2 linked regions of the Neurospora crassa OR74A genome follow. The protein of the gene in region 1 purifies or fractionates together with the protein of each later gene. This does not show direct contact. Links are inferred from orthologs where the notes say so. Each region holds a gene or a part of one and is shown in the gene's direction. Other genes may lie near its edges.

Region 1 (3,332 bases):
CAGTAGATGTAACCGGTTTCGCGCGGTGCCAAAGACGAGATCGACGGGTGAAGTCCGCCGTAACATCCTCATCAGATAATCCACCTTGTGCTCTGCGCCAGGATTCTGCCCAAACCTGTCCAGCCGCTTGTTGGTCTTGTCAAAGTTCATCTGTCGCAGCTGAGACAAGTTGTCAGGCGTGAAGTACGGCAGAAACCGCTGCTCGGGAAAGAGGTTTACAGGCTTGACGCGGAAGTCATGCCGGTTGTGTTGGGTATACAACGGTTCCGTCAAGAACCGGGCCTTGAGAAATTCGGCATACAGGTCCGTCTGGCGCTCCCACATCTTTTCAGAGACGTTCATGTGGAACCAGATCTTGCGAGCCAAGAGGGGGTCCGAAATCGATCCGGCGCATCGCAGCAGGACTTTGTAGTCGGACAAAAGAAGGGGAGAACCCGAGCGGAATCGACGAAAGGCAGCTTCGTGAACTAGGGGGTAAAGGTCGGTGTTTCTTTTTCTGACGCCGTAATTATTGACCAGAGCCCCCAAAGGGGACCAATCGGCCATGGCTGGGTCGACCCATATGTCTCCTAACGGATCTTGGTCTTTGTGAACGGCTTCGACGGGGTCAACGGAGCGGAGAAGTTCGCTGAATGCTGTTGGTGGAAGTTGAAGGATCTCGAGTTTGTTCTCCTTGAAATAAGTGAGCATTTTGTGGGGTTGTCTGAAGGCCGCGGTGAAGCCGTCTATCCAAGGCGACCGTTTTGTCACAGGTGGCTTCTTTGCGACGACGGGTCTTGCGAGAAGGGTTCGGAGGAGGAGGAGCTCATCTTGCTCGAGGGGCTGTCGAGGTCCGTCAAGTTGGTGACCGAATCCATGGTGGGCAAAGTTGCCTGGGTATGGAATTGCTGAGATGGGTTTTGCTGTTTGGGTCGTAGAATGGGGGAGCTTCTGGAGCTTGTTGACGGCGGAGGCTAGTCGTCGAGATTTCGGAGAAGGAACTCGAACCCCACGACAGGAGAGAAGGGCAGCCATTGGGTTGCAAATTGGGGTTGACGGCGTTGTACACCACCCCCATTGGCGACTTTCGTCCGCAATTGAAGCTCGGCCGTGGTGTTGAAGGGGAGCTGAGTGCCCTGGTGGGCGTGCCTAGGTACTAACTGAAGTCGAGGTGTAAGTCAACCCCGCTAACTCAAAGAGGAGAAGTGCGATGGATCTCGCGATGCCCGCCTTTGCAAATCCGGGGAAGGCCTGTTGTCACTTTGGGCGCCTGTTCCTGCCAAGACCTTGCCCAGCCGAAGCTCTGGCATAAGCGTTTAAGAACCGGTCAAGCTTCCACTTCGGAAGCGGTCAGTGCGTCGGGCTGCTTCAGTTGCTCTTGGCATGCGACCAGCTGGCACTGACCTCAATTCGCACCGAAGCGAGCGCTTCCAATCGGGCAGGCATGGAAACCCCCCGCCGTCCGTCACTGGCACTGGACTCACTCATCATCGTTCCAGGGCGCTGCAGCTGAGGTCCCCGCCATCAACAACAGGAACACAACGCCAACTTCATTTTTTTTTCTCTCTCTTCACTCGTTATTTATTTTTGGCTCTTTTGATATCACACATCACACAAAATGGCCGACGCAGTAGAAGATGCCGGCTCTGTTTCCGAGCCCATGGACCTCGTCCGCCTTTTGCTTGACGAGGTTGTCTGCGTCAAGCTGAGAGGTGATCGGGAGCTCAAGGGCCGTCTGCACGTAAGTCCACTCTTATGTTTACATATCCCCTTTTCAGTCGTCACATCTTTCCCGTTACGCCTCACTCACCACCACCCGAACTCATTGCTAACTCGGATACTGTGATGTAGGCCTACGACTCCCATTGCAACCTTGTCCTCGGGGAAGTCGAAGAGACCATTTACGTCGTGGATGATGAAGATACCGAGGAGGATGACCTGAAGGTATGCCATCTTTTCACTTACCCACCGCCACTCTCTCGTCAAACCACCTCTCACCCCTTTCCCATTATACCCACCCTCCTTCCCCTTTCCTTCTCATACCTCGTTTGTCTTTTTTGCTTTCCCTTTCCGTCACTCTCATATACTAACAAAAAGGCAGACCATCTCCCGCAAGTCCGAAATGCTCTTCGTTCGCGGCGATTCCGTCGTGCTCATCTCGCCCTTTACCCGTTCTTGAGAAGAGGCCGTGTATGTGGAGCGACCAGTTGACGAGCACGATTTCCGCCACCGCTACGGCATCAAACCCTTCTCCGGTGGCCCGCTTGGCCAGGACCGGTTGCCCATCGGCAGGTGGAACTTATTGCACGTGGCGGATGAGGCGCAGTTTTGGGAGGGGGTAGATAGGGAAGAGGAGGAGCATTTGGAAGAGAAGGGAAAGGAAACGGCAACGGCGGAGGGTTCTGGACAGTCAGCAGCCGAAGGTTTGTCTCAGTGGGAGTTGGACATGGGTCGTCGCTAAGCCTACCTACCTAGGTGGTGGCTACCTCAAGGTCGAGAGGGGCGGCGCTTACAAAGGAAACCGGTAACCAAGCTTCGGGAAGAGGATAGGAGAGAGATACAAGGAGAGAAGTTGGCTTGAGATGTGACTATCACCGTCATCACATCACGTTCATCGTTTGTCGTTAGAGCCGAAAGATAGATCACGGCACAGATATACCATTGTTATTCCCGGCCATGGAGCATTGATAGCCAGGCAATCTCCTTCCTCCTGAGGAGGCTGAAAAGGATCGCTCGTACAAAGAATACAGTACGTTGCTCAAGAATTTTCATATGTTCATTTGAGAATACCTGTAGGTCACTCATCTTCCACCGACACATACAAAAGCCATATCGTCCATGATACTACTACTACTACTACTCCTACTACTACTTGAATATCTGCAAGTAGTGGGTCACCACTAGTTCTGTACTGTGCCCTGACTGCGCCGCTCCGTATATGAGCCATCAAAACGAGGAGATGAGGCCATGCATCAAAGAAAGTATAAAGAAAAAAAGGTAACGCGGCCCCCAACTTGGGTCATCACAACATCATCTGCCCAACGCCAAATCAGCACCAGGTGCCAGGTCACTAAGCACCAACCTTCACCTCGTTACCGCCACCCTCATGTTTGACATCTTCAACGCCCGCAGCCACCTTATCACCCCCTTCACCTACATTAACCCCGCCCAACGGCCGTTCAGGATCATACCCCACACTCTTGACGATACCCAACCCCTTGGTTCTGCCTTCTCTGAAGAGAAGTCTGTCTCCCGGGACTAGGTATTCGGGTCTCTGGACAAACCGAAACGCGACGGTAGCCCGATCGCCGGTCCTGATAAACGGACGATCAACGTCGATGATGGCGCATGTC
Region 2 (4,615 bases), on another chromosome or scaffold:
GAAGCACGACGCCGGAACCCGTGAAGTCCTGAGCGAAGCCTCCAACTCTGTCAACAACACCGATCTGAAGGATATCTTGCCCTATGGCTTCGGTATCCATCATGCTGGTATGAGTCGTGCTGATCGTACCGACGTCGAAGATTTGTTTGCCAGTGGCCATATCCAGGTTCTTGTGTGCACAGCCACTCTTGCTTGGGGTGTCAACCTTCCAGCCCATACCGTCATCATCAAGGGCACGCAAGTGTACTCGCCTGAAAAAGGTAGCTGGGTTGAGCTCAGTCCTCAGGATGTGCTGCAGATGCTTGGTCGTGCCGGTCGTCCTCAGTTCGACACCTATGGTGAAGGTATCATCATCACCACCCAGGGAGAGATGCAGTACTACCTTTCGCTCCTTAACCAGCAGTTACCCATTGAAAGTCAATTTGCTAGCAAGTTGGTTGATAACCTCAATGCTGAAATCGTGCTGGGCAATGTCAGAAGCCGTGACGAAGGTGTAGAGTGGCTTGGCTATACCTACCTCTTTGTTCGTATGCTTCGCTCTCCTGGTCTTTACCAAGTTGGGGCAGAGTACGAGGATGATGAAGCTTTGGAGCAAAAACGTGTCGACCTAATACATTCCGCTGCTACTGTGCTGAAAAAGTCAAATCTAATCAAGTATGACGAGAAGACCGGAAAGCTTCAGTCCACTGAACTTGGCCGCATCGCCTCGCACTACTACATCAGCTATGGTTCGATGGATACCTACAACAAGTTGATTCAACCCTCTATCACCGATGTCGAACTCTTCCGAGTATTCGCTCAGAGCGCCGAATTCAAGTACATTCCTGTTCGGCAAGAAGAAAAGCTGGAATTGGCCAAGCTCCTGGCAAAGGTACCCATTCCGGTCAAGGAGAGCATTGAGGAGCCTACCGCAAAGATCAACGTGTTGTTACAGGCGTTCATCTCTCGTCTGAAGCTGGAGGGTCTCGCCCTCATGGCTGACATGGTCTACGTTACGCAATCTGCTGGTCGTATTCTTCGGGCTATCTTTGAAATCACGATGAAGAAGGGATGGGCATCAGTTGCTAAGCTGGCCCTGAACCTGTGCAAGATGGCCGAGAAGAGGATGTGGCCAACCATGTCGCCGCTGAGACAGTTCCCCAACTGTCCTGTTGAGATTATCAGGAAGGCTGAAAGGATCGACGTGCCCTTTTCCAGCTACTTCGATCTGGACCCTCCTCGGATGGGCGAGCTTCTCGGACTACCCAAGGCGGGCAAGACTGTTTGCAGCCTGGTGGCCAAGTTCCCCCGCGTCGAGGTCCAAGCCCAGGTGCAGCCCATGACAAGGTCGATGCTGCGCATTGAGCTTGCGATCACGCCAAACTTCGAATGGGATGCCGATATCCATGGGCTTTCCGAGAGCTTTTGGATTATCGTAGAAGATTGCGATGGGGAAGACATTCTTTTCCATGATCAGTTCATCCTGCGCAAGGACTATGCGGAGTCCGAGTCCAACGAACACATTGTTGAATTCACTGTACCCATTACTGAGCCCATGCCCCCCAACTATTTTATCTCCGTCATTTCCGACAGGTGGATGCATTCCGAGACACGTCTGCCCGTGTCGTTCAGGAAACTCATTCTCCCAGAGAGATTCCCTCCTCACACCGAACTGCTTGACCTGCAACCACTACCGGTCAATGCCTTGAAGGCCAAGGACTATTCCGCGCTGTATCCTGATTGGCAACAATTCAACAAGGTGCAAACACAGACTTTCAAGTCCCTGTACGAGACTGACAACAACGTCCTCATCTGCTCACCAACGGGCAGTGGCAAGACTGTTTGTGCCGAGTTTGCCTTGCTGCGCCACTGGGCTAAGAAGGAACACGGCCGGGCCGTCTACATTGCACCTTTCCAGGAACTCGTAGATCTGCGATTCCAGGACTGGCAGAAGCGGTTTGCTAACCTCCGCGGCGGCAAGGACATTGTGAAGCTTACAGGAGAGACGACCACTGACCTTAGGCTCCTGGAGCAAGGCGACCTCATCATGGCCACACCGCTGCAGTGGGATGTCCTGTCGCGGCAGTGGAAGAGGAGGAAGAACGTTCAGACGGTAGAGCTTTTCATCGCTGACGAGCTGCACTTACTTGGTGGCCAGATGGGCTACGTCTACGAGATCATCGTCTCGCGGATGCACTATATCAGGACCCAAACGGAGTTGCCACTAAGGATTGTCGGCCTCAGTGTGTCTCTTGCCAACGCTCGTGATGTTGGCGAATGGATCGACGCGAAAAAGCACGACATTTACAACTTCAGCCCGCATGTGCGACCTATTCCATTGGAATTGCACATTCAGTCATACTCCATCCCCCACTTTCCGTCCCTCATGCTGGCGATGGCAAAGCCTACTTATCTGGCCGTTACTCAGCTTTCTCCCGACCAATCTGCTCTCATCTTCGTGCCCAGTCGGAAGCAAACAAGAGCCACGGCACGAGATATCCTCACCGCCTGCTTGGCTGACGATGATGAAGATCGTTTCCTTCATGTAGACGTTGAGCAGATCCAAAAGCTCCTTGATCGCGTTCAAGAAGCGGCATTAGCTGAGGCCCTGAAGCACGGTGTTGGTTACTACCACGAAGCCCTGAGTCTCAATGACAAGCGCATCGTCAAGCATCTCTATAACAACGGCGCCATCCAGGTGCTGATCGCCTCTCGCGATGTGTGCTGGGAGCTTGATTGCACTGCTCATCTGGTAGTTGTTATGGGCACCCAGTATTTCGAGGGCAGGGAGCACCGCTATGTTGATTATCCCCTGAGCGAGGTTTTGCAAATGTTTGGCAAGGCCCTCCAGCAGAATAAGGCTGGGCGTGGTTGCGGTGTCTTGATGGTTCCTGCGGTCAAGCGGGAGTATTACAAGAAGTTCCTCAACGAAGCCCTCCCTGTCGAGTCTCATCTGCACAATTTCCTCCACGATGCCTTCGTGACAGAAATCAGCACCAAGATGATTGAGTCAGGTGAAGATGCCATCAACTGGGCTACTTTTACTTACTTCTACCGCCGCCTGCTCGCCAACCCAAGCTACTACAGTTTGACAGACCCTACGCACGACGGTCTCAGCCAGTATCTCTCCGACATGGTTGAGGCTACCTTGAAGGATCTGGCCGAGTCCAAGATCATCGACTTCGATGAGGATGACGGCACCGTTGCTCCTCAGAACGCCGCCATGATTGCTGCTTACTACAACATCTCGTACATTACGATGCAAACCTTCCTTCTTTCGCTGACGGCAAAGACAAAGCTGAAGGGTATCCTCGAGATCGTGACGTCGGCTACCGAGTTTGAAGCGATCCAGATCAGAAGACATGAAGAAGTCATTCTGCGTCGCATTTACGAGAGTGTCCCCGTCAAGATGGCCGAGCCTGTCTTTGATTCACCGCATTTCAAGGCCTTCGTTCTCTTGCAGGCCCACTTCTCCAGGATGAACCTCCCCATCGATCTCGCAAAGGATCAAGAGGTCATCCTCACCAAGGTGCTCAGCCTGCTGAGCGCTACTGTTGACATTCTCTCGTCGGATGGTCACCTCAACGCCATGAACGCCATGGAAATGTCCCAGATGGTGGTGCAAGCGATGTGGGATCGGGATAGCCCGCTCAAGCAGATTCCCAACTTCACGACGGAGGTCATCAAAACGGCCAACAAGTACGGTATCCGAGACATCTTCGACTTTATGGAGAAGATGAACCCCGAGGAGAACGCCGACTACGCCTCTCTGGTCAGGGACCTTGGTCTGTCTCAGGCCCAGCTCGCCCAGGCTGCCGAGTTCACCAACAACAAGTACCCCGACGTCTCGTTGGAGTTCGAGCTTGAAGACAAGGACAACATTCGGGCGAACGAGCCTGCATACCTCAAGATCAACATTGAGCGCGAGGTTGATGAGGACGAGGAGTTTGATCCTACGGTGCACGCTCCGTTTTACCCTGGCAAGAAGACGGAGAATTGGTGGTTGGTGGTTGGCGAGGAGAGCTCCAAGACTCTGCTGGCGATCAAGCGGGTCACCATTGGCAAGAAGCTCAACGTCAGGCTGGAGTTTACGGTGCCTACGCCTGGTCGCCACGACCTGAAGCTAATGTTGATGAGCGACAGCTATGTCGGTGTTGATCAGGATCCGGCGTTTTCGGTCATGGTGGAGGAGGGAATGGATGTTGATGAGAGCGACGAGGAGGAGGAAGAGGAGGAGTAGGAGGAGTAGGAGGAGGAGGTGGTGGTGGACAATTGATAGGGAATGGAGACTGATTAGGTGTTTATGTATGGTAATGCAAGGCAAGTACTGACAACCCATCTACCTGGCAATTGAGGCGGTACGGTATATGTGGATGTGTATGACACAGGGGAAAAAAAAACGCAGTAGTTCAACGAGAATGCATCATCTTCGGTTATCTAGCAACCCTCCTCACCCATCGGTTCGCGGATACATGTGCCGGGTGGTTTTGGCACGCCTAGTGGTGCTTAGGGTGTCAGCTTCAGGCCCAAGTCTGGAGTGGTGCGGGGTTTCACGACCGCTGCGTGAGAGTGTCGGGAGAGGCCTGTCTGGGAATGTTTGGGGCTGGGCTGGGATGGGGGTTCCGGGTTGTGGATG

Evidence for each region.
Region 2: the proteins of NCU09512 (region 1) and NCU02685 purify together in Saccharomyces cerevisiae (affinity purification with mass spectrometry; 7 studies listed by BioGRID, with this or other methods). This does not show direct contact. The link is inferred for Neurospora crassa OR74A from reciprocal best matches to the Saccharomyces cerevisiae genes LSM3 and BRR2.

Annotation. Positions count from the first base shown.
Region 1 is NC_026503.1:55,494-58,825, reverse strand, and holds NCU09512 (U6 small nuclear ribonucleoprotein), read left to right. Parts: upstream 1-1,433; 5' UTR 1,434-1,597; coding exon 1,598-1,720; intron 1,721-1,830; coding exon 1,831-1,923; intron 1,924-2,080; coding exon 2,081-2,158; 3' UTR 2,159-2,744; downstream 2,745-3,332. Other genes in the region: NCU09511 (hypothetical protein), read right to left, coding at 1-1,014; NCU09513 (GTP-binding protein 1), read right to left, coding at 3,050-3,332. UniProt on the Saccharomyces cerevisiae protein: Component of LSm protein complexes, which are involved in RNA processing and may function in a chaperone-like manner. Component of the cytoplasmic LSM1-LSM7 complex which is involved in mRNA degradation by activating the decapping step.
Region 2 is NC_026501.1:3,194,159-3,198,773, reverse strand, and holds part of NCU02685 (pre-mRNA splicing helicase), read left to right. Parts: coding exon 1-4,219; 3' UTR 4,220-4,615.